3 linked regions of the Callithrix jacchus genome follow. The protein of the gene in region 3 purifies or fractionates together with the protein of the main gene of each other region. This does not show direct contact. Links are inferred from orthologs where the notes say so. Each region holds a gene or a part of one and is shown on either strand. Other genes may lie near its edges.

The links.
Region 1: the proteins of GTPBP4 (region 3) and MRTO4 purify together in Homo sapiens (affinity purification with mass spectrometry; 3 studies listed by BioGRID and IntAct, counting the BioPlex papers as one, with this or other methods). This does not show direct contact. The link is inferred for Callithrix jacchus from reciprocal best matches to the Homo sapiens genes GTPBP4 and MRTO4.
Region 2: the proteins of GTPBP4 (region 3) and NSA2 purify together in Homo sapiens (affinity purification with mass spectrometry; 3 studies listed by BioGRID and IntAct, counting the BioPlex papers as one, with this or other methods). This does not show direct contact. The link is inferred for Callithrix jacchus from reciprocal best matches to the Homo sapiens genes GTPBP4 and NSA2.

Annotation. Positions count from the first base shown.
Region 1 is NC_133508.1:56,163,564-56,169,549, reverse strand, and holds the start of MRTO4 (mRNA turnover protein 4 homolog), read right to left. Parts: upstream 3,169-5,986; 5' UTR 2,912-3,168; coding exon 2,884-2,911; intron 1-2,883. Other genes in the region: EMC1 (ER membrane protein complex subunit 1), read left to right, coding at 3,233-3,327. UniProt on the Homo sapiens protein: Component of the ribosome assembly machinery. Nuclear paralog of the ribosomal protein P0, it binds pre-60S subunits at an early stage of assembly in the nucleolus, and is replaced by P0 in cytoplasmic pre-60S subunits and mature 80S ribosomes.
Region 2 is NC_133503.1:136,299,449-136,305,434, reverse strand, and holds the start of NSA2 (ribosome biogenesis protein NSA2 homolog), read left to right. Parts: upstream 1-1,969; 5' UTR 1,970-2,078; coding exon 2,079-2,081; intron 2,082-3,641; coding exon 3,642-3,829; intron 3,830-3,924; coding exon 3,925-4,075; intron 4,076-5,208; coding exon 5,209-5,388; intron 5,389-5,986. UniProt on the Homo sapiens protein: Involved in the biogenesis of the 60S ribosomal subunit. May play a part in the quality control of pre-60S particles.
Region 3 is NC_133508.1:12,114,549-12,120,439, reverse strand, and holds the start of GTPBP4 (GTP-binding protein 4), read left to right. Parts: upstream 1-1,845; 5' UTR 1,846-1,871; coding exon 1,872-1,919; exon of another isoform or gene 1,920-2,305; intron 2,306-4,283; coding exon 4,284-4,454; intron 4,455-5,891. UniProt on the Homo sapiens protein: Involved in the biogenesis of the 60S ribosomal subunit. Acts as a TP53 repressor, preventing TP53 stabilization and cell cycle arrest.

The sequences.
Region 1 (5,986 bases), about 44 Mb from region 3:
GGCCTTCATGGCCATCATTTCTGGCACACACAGCCATTCCAGGGCCCATGGAATGACTACTCATTAGCATTATTGGGCCTGACGATCCCTGGATATAAATCCTGCTATTTAGACAAACTAGGCCTTTCTTTAGCTCCTCAGGCTGACCCAAATAACTTGGTTACAGTGTGAGGGGTGAAGGTTGTTCCTGCTGCTGGGAGTGCTCTCGGTGGCAGACCTCACCTGCCAGTTGAGACAGGCCTCTCTTTTTTTTTTTGAGATGGGGTCTTATTCTGCCACCCAGGCTGGACTGCAGTGGCATAATCTCGGCTCACTGCAGCCTTGACCTCCTGGGCTCAGGCAATCCTCCCACACAGGACTACAGACACACACCATCATGGTCTGCTCATTTTGTTTGGGACCAGAGAAATCCACCACCATACCCAAGTGATTTTTCTACTTTTTGCAGAGATGAATTCTGCCATGTTGTCTGGCTTGGTCTTGAACTCCTGGGCTTAACAGATTTGCCTACTTCAACCTCCCAAACAGTTGGAATCATAGGTGTGAGCCACCGCACCCAGCCCCTTTCTGCCCTCAACCATGATGCAGAGGCCACTCTCGCTGGCCTATGCGGTAAAACAGCGAGTCTGGGGCTCAGCCTCCTGTTACGTATCTGCGCTCCAGTTTTGCAATGTAGACTCACAGATGCAGCAACACCTCTCTGGGGAGGAACATGTTACCTCTATTGTAAAAATGACTGGGGTCCAATTTACCCTTTACCCAAAAAGTCTGACATTTGCCAGACCTGACCCAGGCCCTCTGCACAGAATCAAATTGTTCCAGAATCACTTAAAAGAACTCCAACTGCAAAGTCCTGGGTGCCCTCTCACAAAAGGGCCTCGGCCTCTCTTCTTTAACCTGCCTGGCACTCAGCCCCTCTTAACAAGGCACCACAGACAAGGACAATCACACCAGCAAGGAGGGCAAAAGAAATATAGCTGGCCACTTCCCATAATTTCCACTGTTATACCTTGGGATCCAAGCCAGCATCACCCTCTCTCGGATTAATACTGGCCTCATTGCTTCCATCCCTGCCCTCTGACCTGTCTTCCCCAGCTAGTCTCCACTAGGGCAACCAGTGTGACCCTTTACAAGTAAAGGTAAATCACATGAATCTTCTGCTTGAACTCTAGGCAGGAAAGCCTTACCAAGGCTGAGGAAGACCTGCTGCTCTCTCTGCCTAACCCTCTCCCCCAACTCTGTTTGGCTCCTTCTGTCCAGCCACACTGGCCTCTTGTCCCAAACATGTCCAATCTGCTCCCACTTCAGAGCCTCTTCACTTCATGTTCCCTCTACTTGGAACAGCACTCTCCCAGGTATTTCTACAGGTGCACAATTCTACAGGTTGCTCACTTCCTTTCTTCGATTTTTTGTTCATTTGTCACCTCATCAGTGAGACTTTTCCTGACCACATTATAAAAAATATCGCCGTCTCTTCACCCCGTGTTTACTCAGTCTGATTTTTAGCATTTTGTGGAATGTGTTTCCCCTAAAACGTTAAGCTTGATGAGAAATAAGCCTTCCTTGTTGTAACTGCTGTATCCTCCAATGCCTAGAAAGTGACAGATCCCTAAATATTTTTGAATATGCCAGGGAAAGGGGTGGAGAGAGATGCCACCACAGCAAAGGTGGCCAAAGATAGTCTCTTAAGAGGTGCTCAAGTCGGGCGCAGTGGCTCACGCCTGTAATCCCAGCACGTTGGGAGGCTGAGGCTGGAGGGTTGTTTGAGCCCAGGAGTTCCAGACCAGCCTTGGCAACATACCGAGAGTCATCTCTACAAAAACAAAAAAAAAAACCCTGGTTCGAGACCAGCCTGGCCAATATGGTAAAACCCCATCTTTACTAAAAAGACAAAAAATTAGCTGGGCGTGGTGGTGTGCGCCTGCAGTCTCAGCTACTCGGGAGGCTGAGGTGGGAGGATCACGTAAGCCCAGGAGGTCGAGGCTGCAGGGACTTATTTTATCTATCTATCTATCTATCTATCTATCTATCTATCTATCTATTTATTTTTGAGAGGGAGTCTCGCTCTGTCGTACTCAGGCTGGAGTGCAGTGGTGTGATCTTGGCTTATTGCAACCTCCGCCTCCCGGGTTCAAGCGATTCTCCCGCCTCAGTCTCCCAAGTAGCTGGGATTACAGGCACCCGCCACCACACCCAGCTAACTTTTTGTATTTTTAGTAAAGATGGGATTTCACCATATTGGCCAGGCTAGTCTCGAACTCCCGACCTCAGATCAGATGATCCACCCGCCTCGCCTCCCAAAGTGCTGGGATTACAAGCGTAAGCCACCGTGCCCGGCCTGCAGTGACTTATGATCGCACCACTGCACCTCAGCCTGGGCAACGAAGCGAGACACTGTCTCAGAGAGGTCCTGTTAACTGACAGCTAAGAAAGAACAAGCCATGCAAGAGATAAGCATGCCAGGCAGAAACAACCGCAGATACACAATGCGACAACTTGAACAAGCCTGTGCTGGAAGAAGGGAAAGTAGAAAGGCAGCCAGGGTGGCGGGAGCGCAGGAAGTTGAGAAAGGGCCGAGGTTGGGAAAAGTGGGCCGAAACGAGTGGGGGGTGCTCAGGTGTTGTCTCCCGGCCCAGTTGGCCTTGCAAGAGCACTTTAAACTAGGCAAAAGCGTCCCGGCTCTCTGGATACCACCAGGCATCAGCCCCCTCTGGCGGTTCTACAGCCCCGAAGCCCCCATTCCAGCACAAAGCAAGGCAGCAGAAGACCTCGTAGATATTCCTGACGTCCTATTCTGCATCCCCGCCGCCCGAAGCCCTCACTGCAGGCTGGGCAGCCAGCCCGCGAAGTTCCCCAAAGAGTCCCAACGCTCCCTTCGCCCACCTTTCTTGTCGCGTTTGGATTTGGGCATCGCGTTGAATCCACGTGCGGCGGAAGACGGTGCACCCCGTTAAGACCCCGGCGGCGCGGGGACCTCTGGGACGGCCCTCGGGGGGCTGCCCCTCGCGTGTGCCTGACCCAATATGCGCTGCAGCCCGCCTGTCTCTGCCGAGGCGTCGCCTGCACTTTCTCCTGCGTCTGTGGGGCGTCTTCCTGCGTACTCAGGCGGCCCACGAACCCCGAGCGTCCCACCGAGGACCTTATACAAGGTCCCAGCTCTTTGGTCCCGCGGAGGTGGAGCCGCGGCGCGGTGTATGCCGGGACGGCGGCGGGCGGTGCCTACGCTCGCATTATGGCGGCGGAGTGGGCTTCTTATTTCTGGCTTTGGGCTACCCTGCTGATTTCTGTGGCCGCGGTCTACGAAGATCAAGTGGGCAAGTTTGATTGGTGCGTACGTGTGGAATATATTCGAGAGATAAGTGGCTGTTTCCTTAGTACCCGTCTCCTACCTGCTAAAGGGAGGGGGGTTGTCATGTAGCCGTATTGGCTACATAATTTGCGGGACCAGTACAAAATGAAAACGTGGCTCCTTGTTCAAAAATTATTAAGGATTTAAAGTCGTCGGAAGCAGAGCTTTAAACCAAGTATTAGAGTTCCCTCTAAGCTGATCCTTGTGTGTAAGCCGGCCCTGCCATGCAGTCATGCTTGGGGTGCTTGCTGGTCAGAGGTCACTGATCCCGTCCTCCCTCTCGTCAGGTTCCATTTCTTTGACTGTCAAGTTTCTGGTCTACCAGGTGTCAGAGGTCCCCAAGCCGTCAGTGAACTTTAATGCCTACTCGAATTGGTGTCTTGTAGACATGTGAACAGGACTTTCTTCTTGAAAGTCCTAAACTGAGTCCTTTCCCCCCTCTTCTCAATCTAGTCTGGCCCTGGGCTCAGAGCAGAATTGCCGAAAACACTAAGCAGCTAGAAGATGCCATTCATTCATTCATTCATTCACCCACCCACGTCCTCCTCAGGGCCCTGGAGTCGCTTGCTTTTGTTTGAATTTTGCCAATTAAGAGTTGTGTGATTTTGGGGAAAGTGACATAACCACTCTGTGCCTTGGTGTCTTTGTAGAATGGGTTTAGTAACAGTCCATTATCTCCTACAGTGCTTGTGAGAATGAATGAGACAATCCACTTACTTAGCACAATGCCTGGCTCATTGAATGTCACTAAATGTTACTTGTTGTTATTGCTATTTACACTTTATTCTTCAGGGCCCAGCTCAGATTTCTCCTCCTCTGAAGTATTTTCTGTCTTGGAAAAGTTGATTCACATATATGTCGAGTACCTGTTATGCCAGACAGTGTGACAAATAGAACATAAGTCACATTTTAAATGTCATATGTGTATATTACACATATATAGCAGGTGACATGTGTATCTAATTTTGCAGAATACTAGGTCAATGCAGTTTTCTTTCTTTTTTTTTTTTTTGAGACGGAGTTTCGCTCTTGTTACCCAGGCTGGAGTGCAACGGCGCGATCTCGGCTCACCGCAACCTCCGCCTCCTGGGTTCAGGCAATTCTCCTGCCTCAGCCTCCTGAGTAGCTGGGATTACAGGCACGCGCCACCAAGCCCAGCTAATTTTTTGTGTATTTAGTAGAGACGGGGTTTCACCATGTTGACCAGGATGGTCTTGATCTCTTGACCTCGTGATCCACCCGCCTCGGCCTGCCAGAGTGCTGGGATTACAGGCGTGAGCCACTGTGCCTGGCCTCTTTTCATGAATGAATGAATGGCATTTCCTAGCTGCTTCGTGTGTTGGGTAACCCTGCTCTGTGCCCAGGGCCAGGCTAGGCTGATGAGAGGGGGCAAAGGACTCAGGTTTTTTTTTTTTTTTTTGAGGCAAGGTCTCATTCTGTAACCCAGGCTGGAGTGTAGTACAATCACAGCTCACTGCAGCTCCAACCTCCCAGGTTCAAGTGACCCTCCCACCTCAGCCTCCTCAGTAGCTGGGACTACTGGTGCACACTTCTGTAGTTTCTTTGTATTTTTTTGTAGAGACTGGGTTTTGCTATGTTGACCAGGCTGGTCTTGAACACCTGGGCTCAAGTGATCCACCTGCCTTGGCCTCCCAAAGTGCTGGGATTACAGGTGTGAGCCACTGCACATGGTCTACAGTTTTCAGATTGAAAAATAAACAGAAGAATTACAGGTATGCATCACTTAATGATGGGAATACATTCTGAGAAATGCACTTTTGTGCAAACATTGTAGTGCGTACTTACCTAAACCTAGATGGTTTAGCCCACTGCGCACCTAGGTTATGTGGTATAGCCTGCTGTTCCTAGGCTATAAACCTGAACAGCGTGTTACTGTACCGAAAACTGTAGGCAGTTGTAACACAATGGTAAATATTTGTGTATCTAAACATAGAAAAGGCATAGTAAAAATGGGGTGTGAAAGATAAAAACTGGTACACCTGTATAGGGCGCTTACCATGAACGTATGTTGCAGGACTAGGAATTGTTGTGGAGTTGGTCAGTGCGTGGGCGGTGAGTAAATATAAAGACTTAGGACATTACTGTGCAACTACTGTGGACTTCATAAGCACTGTACATTTAGACTATACTACATTTATAAGATATTTTTCTTTCTTCAATAATAATTTAACCTCAGCTTAATGCAGCTTTTTAACTTTACATTTTATTTTTAAAAAATTTTTGACTTGTAATAATACTTAATGTAAAACACAAACACCCTTTACAGCTGTACAAACATATATTTTTAAAATTTATTTTTGACATGGGACCTTGCAGTGTTCCCCAGGCTGATCTTGAACTCCTGGGCTCAAGCAAACCTCCTGCCTCAGCCTCCTTAGCAGCTGGGGTTACAGGCACATGCTACCATGCCTGAGTTAATAATATTTTCCTTATATCAATATTCTGTGAGCTTTTTCCTACAATACTAAAAAAATTTTTTTTTCAGTCTTAAACTATTTTGTTAAAAACCAAGACACAGGTTGGGCACGATGGCTCACATCCATCACCTTAGCATTTTAGGAGGCTGAGGGGGTGGATGGCTTGGGCCCAGGAGTTCAAACCAGCTTGGACAATATG
Region 2 (5,986 bases), on a different chromosome or scaffold from region 3:
TAATCCCAACACTTCAGGAGGCCGAGGCGGCTGGATTGATTGTACCCCGGAGTTTGAGACCAGCCTGGGCAACATGGTGAAACCCCGTCCTACAAAAATTTTAAAAATTAGGCAGGCGTGGTGGCCCGCGCCAGTAGCTCTCTACGTTTGAGGCTGAGATCGGAGGATCGCTGGATCCCGGGATGTAGAGGCTGCAGTGAGCCGAGATCGCGCCACTGCACTCCAGCCTGAGCGAAATGCCGTCTCAAAAAAAAACCCCACAAAAACAAAACAAAATACTGCCTCAAGTCCAAGCACCAAAAATTAATGAAAGTATTCTTTTGCTACAGTTCTTTTCGCTCCAGTCAACTGAATCACGTTCCAAGCTGTGAATTAAGAGAACTTCTGCAACTGTGCAGTAAAAGGGCAAAATTGGCAGTGTCTTTAAGTGACGTACTTTCTTGTAGTGAATTACTTCCTGGCACTAGGGGGCACTAAATGCAAGTCCACTCAGCACTTGATTCGATGCACTAAAATACCTCAGGAATTTCTGAAATCAGCCCTGTACCTCCAAAAACCCAGAATGTTGTCTTTCTTTTCTGACAATTGCAAAAGCCCAGTAGTTCCACTTTTCCGTACGGTAAGTTTTCATTCCTCAGTAACCTTCACAATCATGCACACATTACCCACAGTGACCGGAACAACTTGAGTCGCCCTCCCGAAGGATAGAGAAAAATTTACAAGAGCTTCTGAAAGAAGCATTACACATAGAAAGAAACAACCAGTATTAGCCTTTCTAAAAATATACCAAAAAGTAAAGAGCATCAACATAAAGAAGAATTTACATCAACGAATGAATAAAACAGCCAGTTAACATCAAATGGCAGTAATCCTAAATTTAAATCGACTCAATCCCGTAATCAAAAGATACAGCCAAAACCCAACGGTATGCTACATCCAGACCCATTTCACATGCAAGGATACACAAAGACTCAAAACAAAGGGATGGAGAAAGATTTACCAACCAAATGGAGAGCAAAAATAAATAAATAAATAAAAAGCAGGAGTTGCAATTCTCGCATCTCATAAAATTGATTTTAAAGTAACAAAGATATAGTGGTAAAAGGATCAATGCAACAATAAGAGCTGACCATTCTAACAACCAGATACATAGAGACTAAGACTCAATGAGACAGAAAGTTAATAAGGATATCCAGGACTCGAACTCAGATCCTGAACAAGTAAACAATAATATTTATAGAGCTCTCCACTTTAAATACACAAAATATACATTCTTGTCAATACCACATCACATCTACTCATAGGTTTAAATGAAATTGATTGGCCATTATGAATACCCATTTTTTAGAATAAAGCAACATTTCTGTTCTCTCTCCCTCTTTTTCTTCCTCTTGCTTCCTCTCCTTCACTCCTTTTTTTTTTTTTCTTTCCTTCTCTCCAAAAAAAAAAAAAAAAAAAAAAAAAGATAAAAACTTCCCCACTGAGCGAACACCGAGGGGAGTCCGGAGATCGGAGGATCGCTGGATCCCGGGATGTAGACCCTGCTGTCCTCCTCCGTGGCTGGCTGTGTCCGTCGCAGCCTGGAAGGTCAGCTGTACCCAGCGCAGGACAGGGTCATAGGCCCGCAGTGTCTCAGAGCTTGGAGCGCTACTCACCTGGCATTAGGTTGCGTACCGCCGTCCAGCTAGTCACCGCTAGGTTGTTGAAGCAGGAGGCGCAGGTCGTGCCGAAGTCTGCAACAGCCTCAAGTCCCGTCGCCTGCCTGAACACACGACAGTGTACCTAAACTAAAGGAACGTAGGATTTTTCCGCTTTTCCGCCCTGAGCAGCCACCCTTCAACACTTCCGGCGGTGCACCGGCCAAACGCCGCCAGCCAGCAACTTCCGTTCTCCTAGCTGAACGCGGAAAACGGAGGCTCGGAAGTGCTGCGTGAGCTTGGTTTTCACTCGGCGGTTTAAAAAGATTACCCTTTCCTGTCGCGGCCTGCGTGGTGTCGGCTCTTGGGTTTCAGAGACCTGAATATTAAGAGCATTTTTACACCCCAGGGGCCGCTAGTGGCGACTCTGCGGCCATCACCATGGTAAGGAGGATGCCTCGGACGCTCGCGACATAGGGCGTCTCAGTTCATAGGACCTGAGGGTTCTAGGGAGCTGGGGCATGGGGTGAGTGGTGTTTGGCGGAAATGAGAACTTCTGAGGGAAAAAGATGGTGGACTCCTTGGGGTGGCCTCTGAGAAGTGGAAACAACTTCACGTTAGAGACACGGAGAGTATTTGCCGGAATACAAGCTTTGGAGCAAGACAGATTTTACTCTGTCTTGTTTTTTCTTTTTTATCCACTGCTAAGAATCCTACAAATTCCTGATTTCACTACAAGCGTGGTTATCAGCACCAGTCTAATGGGAATGTGGCTGTGCTTTGTTACAACCTTAGATGTTAATCCCTGACCCTTCATTTTACTGCTGAGGAAACTGAAGGCGTCCTTGCCAAAGATCAGGCAGCTAACGAATTGCGAAGCCGAGCTTAACGCTCAGATCTAACTGCCAGATCTTTTGTCTGTCTGCTACGTCTCTAATATGCGTTTCTTTGCACAGTGGCATTCCACACACCGTTCGTATGTGTGGAGTTGCTGCAAAGTTTATGTGATAGCACACCTTGTTGGTTGTTACTTAACATTTTTCTCTGTTCTGGACTTGTCTTTGTGTCATTTTTATTTTTGCAGTCTTAAAATACAAATAGACTTGCGCCTGTTTAAAACGCGTCTAAAATGCAAAAGCTTCCCATACATTGCTGCTGGAATGCAAAATAATACACTTTGGAAAACTGTCCGACATTAAACATATGTCCACATGAAGACTTAAATGCAGTTGTTTATTTTAGCTTTATTCATAATCAGCCCAAACTGGAAACAACCCAGATAACTATTAACTGGTCGCTGGGTAAATCAACAGTGGTATATCCATACGATAGCATACTACTCAACAATGAAAAGGATTGAAGTACCTATACCTGCAACAAATTGGATGAATCCCAAGAGCAAGAAAGCAGATGCAAAAAGCTATTTACTACTGTTGATCCCTGTTACATTCTGGGAAAGGTAAAACTATAGGGATAGGTATCAAATTGAGAGTTGGGAAGGAGGATCGACTTCAAAGTGACACAAGGCAATTTTAGGGGGAAATAGAAATTCTCTGTATTTTGATTGTGGTGGTTATAGAACTGTAGTCAGTCAAAAGTTAGAACTGCGCAGCTAGAAAGGACAAGTTTTACTGTGTATAAATTATGGTTCAATGAAAGTGACTTAAATTTTTAAAATAAAATTTGAAATGAAGACGTGATTTAAAAAGCAAATTATGTCAAGGAAAAAAGATCCTCTAATCAGGATCTAATAGATTTTGGACCATTCCCTACTGAGATTATTAGAGATGTAAGCGCTAAAACCTCATATTCAAGATCAAAATTTAACTGACAAAAATTTAACTTACATCATGTGAATAGACTTACTGGTGCAAGAATCATTTAAGTAAGTGAACATTTGGATGAAACAGGGTCTTAACTACTTTAGTGTATGTAAAAGAGTGCATTTTAGAATAATTGTCAGTACTTTAAAAAATTAAAATAACATTAATTGCATCATTATAGCCACAGAACGAATATATAGAATTACATCGTAAACGCTATGGATACCGTTTGGATTACCATGAGAAAAAGAGAAAGAAGGAAAGTCGAGAGGCTCATGAACGTTCAAAGAAGGCAAAGAAAATGATTGGTCTGAAAGCTAAGCTTTACCATAAACAGCGCCACGCTGAGAAAATACAAATGAAAAAGACGTAAGTGGTCCAATTTATTTGTAATAACAACTTAACAGCTTTTGAGTAATCATTATTAAAACAGATAATCTTGAGTATTTTTTCCTTCTTGGTAGTATCAAGATGCATGAAAAGAGAAACACCAAACAAAAGAATGATGAGAAGACTCCACAGGGAGCAGTACCTGCCTATCTTCTGGACAGAGAAGGACAATCTCGAGCTAAAGTACTTTCCAATATGATTAAACAGAAACGAAAAGAGAAGGCGGTAAGCAGTATTAATTTAAGTCTTTGTTTTGTTTAGGAGAATTACTTACATTCAAATTTGAGGTTCTTACTTCTTCAGTTTAATTTGAAAACACATGAAATACGACTATTATTCCCATTATTTAGATGTTGAAGTCTTGGTAAATTTAATAATAAAAATCTTGCTCTCTCATAAGGTTTTAGAATTTTTTTAAAAAAATTCTTAGAATGCCATATGAAATTAAAACAAAAAGTTAGTAAGGAGTGAATTTCAAACACAGTATTTGTCTTCCCATTTGAAAACCCACGACGTTATGCAGTCTTAAAGAAAAATACAAATGCTTCTTATTTGTGCTGCCCTGTAATGCCAAAATTAGTTAAAAATTAGAATGGTGGAAAACTCCTTAAGTGGTCACAAAAATGTGGCTTTTTTTAAACACCTGTGAACAGATTAGCAGAAATCCAGATAAAAGAATATGAGGTATCTATATTTAAAGAATTCTACTGCCTTACACGACTTCAGTTTTTTCATAGAATTTGTGCTCCAGGGAGGCATAAAACATCTGGTGAGGGCTTTGTCTTACTAGTAATCTACAAATCCATTTCGGGAAGAAATGCAAAGACATAAGAGGTGAAAACACTCTTCCAGTGTTATGCTATTAAACATACACTGCTTATAGCCATCACCATCGGCTGGGTGCAGTGGTTCATGCCTATAATCCCAGCACTTTGGGAAGAAGAGACAGGTGGATCACCTGAGGTCAGCAGTTCAAGACCAGCCTGACCAATATTATAATACCCCCACCTTCTACTAAAAATACAAAAATTAGGTCCAGCCTGGGCAACAGAGCAAGACTCCATTTCAAAATAAAAGTCACCATTATATTACAGATGGTATTTTTTTCACCCATAACACAGCATTAAGATTTTTTGCTTAAGCCAACAATTTATTTAATGTACCCATGATATATAAACTTAACTAGTTTTGTTTAATTTGCAGCTTGTGAGGAGTCAACACAGAGCTCTAGAAAAACAGTTGAGCCAAAAATGTGTTGATGGCTAAGCAAAAAAATGATCTACTGCTTTGTACAACTAAAGCATATTTGACTTATCATTGCCCTTTAAATACAAACTTTAACTGTGACATATTTTTAGGGAAAATGGGAAGTCCCTCTGCCTAAAGTCCGTGCCCAGGGAGAAACAGAAGTATTAAAAGTTATTCGAACAGGAAAGAGAAAGAAGAAGGCATGGAAGAGGATGGTTACTAAAGTATGCTTTGTTGGAGATGGCTTTACAAGAAAACCACCTAAATATGAAAGATTCATAAGGCCAATGGTAAGTTCTTGGAAGAGTATAGTGACCAAAATATTAGTTATCTTTGTTAAGTTGGATAAAGAACATTATAATTTCCCAAAATTCTTTAAATTGATGTGGAACAGGTTGAAAGATATTTTTGTGCTATTTTTGTTATTCTAACTTAGTGATAGAAGTTATTTAGTACTTTCTCCAGTAGTCAAAAATCTTCAGGTTCATAAAGATTTGAAAAAATAGTGTCATAAGACATTGTCAGTGAATTCTGACTTTTAAATATGACATAATAGAATCTTAATTTTCCACACACAGTCATATTTTCCTCATTCAGCTAGTGATCTACTATATGCCTGATACTGTCTAGGCCTCGGACACTTCTTGTCTTTGACAACAGTTGGAAAACTTGAGTAGTACTGCTTTGTAAGAGTGAATTCCAGTTTGGTAAGGAAAGTATCTAAATGCTCTTGAAAATCATTGGAAAAAGGAAGATAATTTAATCTAGTTTAATTTCTATTGAAGGCAGTAATAGTAATATGACCCCAAACTTCCCTACCCCAGGGAGAAACATAATTGAAGATACATTTTTACAAAATCCCTTCAAAGAGACTGAACTATGCTCCCA
Region 3 (5,891 bases):
GCTCTGGGCCCATGATGAGTCATTATGGTTGTACATTCACAGATATGCCTTTGTGGCTGAACAAGTTAAAAGCAGGTGGCTCATGCCGGTAATCCCAATACTCTGGGAGGCCAAGGCGGGTGGATCACTTGAGGTCAGGGTTCAAGACCAGCCTGGCTAATATGGTGAAACCTCATCTCCACTAAAAATACAAAATATTAGCCAGGAGTGGTGGCCAGGGCCTGTAATCCCAGCTACTCAGGAGGCTGAAGCAGGAGAACTGCTTGAACTTGGGAGGTGGAGGTTGCAGTGAGCCGAGATTGTGCCACTTGCACTCCAGCCTGGGCGACAGACCAAGACTCTGTCTCAAAAAAAAAGAAGAGAATTAAAGAAAGGATGTTTGCACAACTGAAGCAAAGTAAATACTTATGTAAATACCAGATTAAAAGAAAAAGAAAGAGGAATTGGGCATGTCAGAGTGAGAGAAAGTGGGAGAGGTTGAGGAAACATGAGATTCTAAAAAAAAAAAGGCAATAAGTACTAGCATAGCTTTGCTAATCTTGGAAATGGTGGCCAGAATTGTCTGCGGTTTAGCAAATGATGATAGCCAGCTAATAATCCTAATTACCCTAGAATCTTCCTTTAGAAGTGCCACAAAGCTGTAGGAGGTATGCTTATCTGCCTTGCTTGTGACACAAAAATGGAAGCATAGTTAATATAATAGATGAGAAACGCATGACTCAGAATGATTTTCAATATTGGAATGTTGGGAATCTATGGAAGGTATTTTTGTGTAAGGACAATAGGACTTGTTTAAAAAGACTGGAGAGTTGGGGGCATCCCATATGTGTGAGAAGCAGTACCGCTAGTGGTCAGAAGCAGGTTTGCTGGAGCCAAGGTGCCTGGGTTCAAAGCTCACCTCTGCTCCGTTAGCTGCACAACCATGGGCTGCTTTCGAGCCTTGCTGTGCCTTGGATTCCCCACGTACTCCATAAGGCTGTTGCAGGAATTAAATGAGTTAATAGTAGTCAACAGCTCTGAACAGTGCTTGACCGAGTCAGCCCTACCTTAGGTTTAACTTAAGGGATGTAGCCCTGGGTCCCCTAAGGGAGTGGCCACACTATTCACAAACACGAACGCAGTAAGCGCCCAAAGGCTCTATCCTCACCAACCTCCTCAGCTGGACCCGACAGAACTGTCTCCCAACTGCTCCCGGGCTCTCCCGAGGAGCTGTGCGGAACCAGCTTGCCTTACATCAGGCTTTACCTTCTCCGCCCGTTTTGGGATTTAACAAGTACGAGAAAGGGCTGCAGGGGAGCCGCAAGGGCCTCCTCAACACCACGCGCGCGAGGACGGGGTAGGGGAGAGGGCGCTTGACCTGCTCCATACCCGCAGCCAGGGCATGCCCCACACGCGCGCTTCCCTCCTCCTCTGCGTGTCTCGCCGAGACCCGGGACCCCTAGACTCCTGGATCCTCTAGAGCCTCTGAACCCCTAAACCCCCATGCATTACCCAAATCCCAAGACCCCAGACTTCCCAACCCTGGCCCAGGGCAGTGGCTAGGGGCCTGAACCCGCGTCCAAAAACCCGGAGGTTTTTGTCGGGAGTCCTCGCTTTACACAGCAGGAATTTAGTCTCCGCGCGCCCCCTAAAATCCGGGCGTCCTCTCCCCGACGCCCTCACCCACGGGGCCCCCACACGCCCTTCGTGGCTGACCTCCAGGCCGGGTGGGTGCGCTGTGCGACGCGGAAAGCGCCATAGAGGACGCAGGACACGTTGGGCTGAGCTCTCGGAAGTGACGCACCAGCAGCGCCCGTCGGCGGAAGTCCCACCTTCGCCCGATAGCGGAAGTTCCGGGAGTGCCCCGTCCCCGCGTGCTTACGGCAGCCGGCATGGCGCACTACAACTTCAAGAAAATTACGGTGGTACCGTCCGCCAAGGTAGGTGGCTGCGGGAGGGCCACTCCGACTTAGCGGGGTCGCCGGCGAGTGTCCGGACCTGTAGCCGTGGGAGACCGCTCCCGGGCCCGACCTGCTGGCCGCGTACTCGTGATCATTTCCCCTCCCCCTACAGAATCCGGGGTCCACCAGAGATCGGACCCCCCCAGAGACCCGGGTCCACCCAAAGACTGAGGTCCGCCCAGAGAGACCCGGGTCCCCGGAGATCGAGGTCCGCCTACAGAAGGGTTCTCTGGAGGGGCCCCAAAGGTGACGAGGTGGGCGAGTGGAGGCGGACCCCGACATGTAAGGGAGAAGCACTCGGTGGTTGATGATGAGCCTTTGGGTTCTGGGTTTGGCGTAGCCCCCTCCTCTCTCTGGAAGCCTCGGTTCGTTGCTCTCGTGATTTAACATTTCTTAATTTTTAAATCATTCTCTTTCACTGTTGGATTTGGGAATTCCTGTTCTTTTTCTGTCTATAGCAGGCCCAGACTAAATTCGTACAGCGTTGGTGTGTGTGGCAAGAATGAGTCAAAAAGTGTTGAGCATTAGGACTTTTTTTTATTTTTTGTTTTTTAAATTTTTATTTGTTTAAAGATGGGATTTCACCATGTTGGTCAGGCTGGACTTGAACTCCCAACCTCAGGTGATCCGCCCTCCTTGGCCTCCAAAGTGCTTGGATTACAGGCCTGAGCCACCACTCCCAGCCAGGACTTTCTTTTTGAGACTGAGTTTTTTGCTCTTGTTGCCCAGGGTGGAGTGCAATGGCCAGATCTCGGCTCACTGCAGCCTCTGCTTCCCAGGTTCAAGTGACTCTCCTGCCTCAGCCTCCCGAGTAGCTGGGATTACAGGCGCACGCCGCCAGGTCTGGCTAATTTTTGTGTTTTCAGTAGAGACGGGGTTTCACCATGTTGGCCAGACTGGTCTCGAACTCCTGATCTCAAGTGATCCACTTGCCTCAGCCTCCAAAAGTGCTGGGATTACAGGCGTAAACCATCACTCCCAGCCAGATTGTAGTATTTTCCAGTGCAGGAATCATATCTTCTTTTTATTTTTGATCAACCATATCTCAAGTTTGTTGATGGAATTTGCTCTTTGGATTATATGAACTTCGGTAATGTAATTGACTTATGTGGAGAACTTTGGAATATATTAGTACACCATCTGTTTTCTGTTTTGTGGAAAGATTTGTGTTTTAGAGAACAGATGACTTTACCTATCTGAAAAGGGTGATGGTAATTGTTTGGTAATTGGAAGTTTAAAAAAATTACACCAGGAAAGTTTGGGATTCAGTTCGTCCTAGAAGATGTTAAGTGAACGCCTGTCCTGTGCATCAGGTACTGTGTTACAAAAAATGCATAAAATACCTGGAAGTCATTTGGAAGTCATTTTCAAGAGGGGTAAGCAGAATCACTTTTGACCATAATAGAAATAAAACATGGTTATCATGGAGGACACACATGGATTGGGAGAGGATAAGAGTGTAAGTAGCTGTGGTTAGTATGAGAGTCAAGGGCAACCTCCTGAAGTAGGTAACATTTGAACTGTGCCTCCTTCAGGATGTGTGAATACCATTAGGTGCAGAAGAATGTAGGGGAGATCTTGTGTAGGCCCAGAGGGGAGAATGTGCGTGCCCCTCATAGTACGATACTTGGCAGACGATTGGTACGATACTTCTGTCACTGGACCCTGAATTCCTTGAAGGGACAGTATCTTGTTCATTATGTTCAGCACCTGAGTATCCCAACAACCTTTGTATGAAATAATACTGAATCAAATTGTTGAATTAATCAAAGTGTTCAAGAAAAAAGATCAAGTAATTTTGTGTGCCTAGGTAGTGGCTAGATACATCGGATTGAGAAATCCTTGGGATCGGATCCTTATTAAAGAGAAGTGCTGACTCTTTGCACTGGGAAACTCATTAAAAATCCTTCATCTCCTCAAATAGTCCCCTTCCATGCTCTTAGGAAATTCTAAACAGTGGGTTTTAGTTTTACCTGTTATTTTATGTATTTTCAAAGTCCAAGATATGCGTAAAGAAATGGGAGGATTGTTTCTTTTTCTCAACTGTTTTTTCTAATTTATGGTTGAGTTCTCTGACTACTTAAGCTTCAAAGGTTCTTAGGTATTTGGAAATTAAGATAGCACCAAGAAATTATGGGGTAAAATTTATCTTAGCAGCCATGTGTTTCTTAAAGGCTAGAAACTGTAAAAATGAACAAGGTTGTATATGAAACAGTTAGAGTAAAATTTTGTAATTTAAAATACGTAGTACTGTAAGATGTCAGTGTTTTAAGAGGGTTTCAAATAAATGGATCAGAAGTAGATACTTTTGATTTAATTATGGCTTATTTTCTTTAATTGCAGGACTTTATTGACCTGACATTGTCGAAGACTCAACGAAAGACTCCAACCGTTATTCATAAACATTACCAAATTCATCGCATTAGACATTTTTACATGAGAAAAGTCAAATTTACTCAACAGAATTACCATGATAGACTTTCACAAATTCTAACAGATTTTCCTAAGTTGGATGTAAGTGACTTGGGGGACTCTATGTTTATGTAAATATGAGCCTTCAGGGAACCAGTGTTTAACCAGTTTTGTGTACTCATGTGACAGAAAGGGAGACAGGATAATTGACTTAGACTGCTCAGTAAGTTACTGGCAATGAACCATCTTGTTGAATTAATAAAAGTGGGAACAGAATATGGGTTTTTTGATTCTCTAATAGTCTCTCTTTCCTCCAACCAAACCCTGTCTAAGGGGGCACAAAGCTGCTTCTCAGGCTTTCTGTGTAATCCCTGAGCTTGCAGGGGTGAACCCAAGTGGTAATGGTAGCTGTGGGTTAGGAACGCAGAAGCTGACAGCTCGCTGGTGCATCTCCTTCACCCTCTTTTCAAGGGTTTTTTCCCTCCTCAGCTCAGCTTGGGTCAGTGGCATAAAGTCCACCACTGTTTGTGACCTTGTTGCTTCATTAGTGGATGACAGTCAGTTCAGTACTGTGTTCTTCTCTGGCAAGGTCACATGAGGAGCTATGCTTTTTTCATTAAGCCAGAAACCTTGAGCTCCCTTCTCTGCCACACATTGCAGTTTGCCTGTTTCTTTTTTTTTCTTTGAGACTGAGCCTCACTTTCTTGCCGAGGCTGGAGTGTAGTGGTGGGCGTAGTGTCGGCTCACTGCAACCCCTACCTCCTGGGTTCAGGTGATTCGTGTGCCTCAGCCTCCTGTGTAGCTGGGATTAGAGGTGCACACCATCATGCCTGGCGAATTTTTGGTAATTTTAGTAGAGATGGTTCCACCATGTTAGCCAGGCTAGACTTAATCTCCGGACTTCAAGTGATCCTCCTGTGTCTGCCTCTCAGAGTGCTGGATTACAGGCGTTAGCCACCATACCCAGCCTGCCTGTTGAGCTATAGAAAAGCAAGAGCAGAAACTGATTGGCAGGCACTGCTGACAAAGCCTTGACACCGTGTATAGGGCAGTGTGGTTGCAAGATTACTTGAGGTTGTGAAGGGTGTGGGGATCAGCAGTATAGTCTTAAAGCCTAAATCTACCATTGCCCCGGAATAGTCCCTGAAGGTAGGTGGAGGCAGAGAAAAACATTTGGCTTCTGTGACAGTACTTTTTATTTAAACAAGTAATAATGACTTACTAAAAGACAAAAGTGCTTAAAATAAAAGGCAAAAATTCCTGCTAGAATTTAGAATTGACAGACACTTAGGTTGTATCTATCCAGGGTTTGATACAGTTGTTCAGTAGATGCTTCTTGAATGAGTGGATGGTTTCTTGGGAAAGGGAGAGAGTACCTGGGGGTAAGGAAAGTGATTAAGAAAGAGATTATTCTAAACTGATTTGGTATTAGGAGACACTTGATCTTAGCAAACAACATATTTTGATCTACTGAGTATCAGATGTTTGTGGTTCTTTTTAAGAAGTTTTATCTTTTTCATCCTCAGTATTATATACATC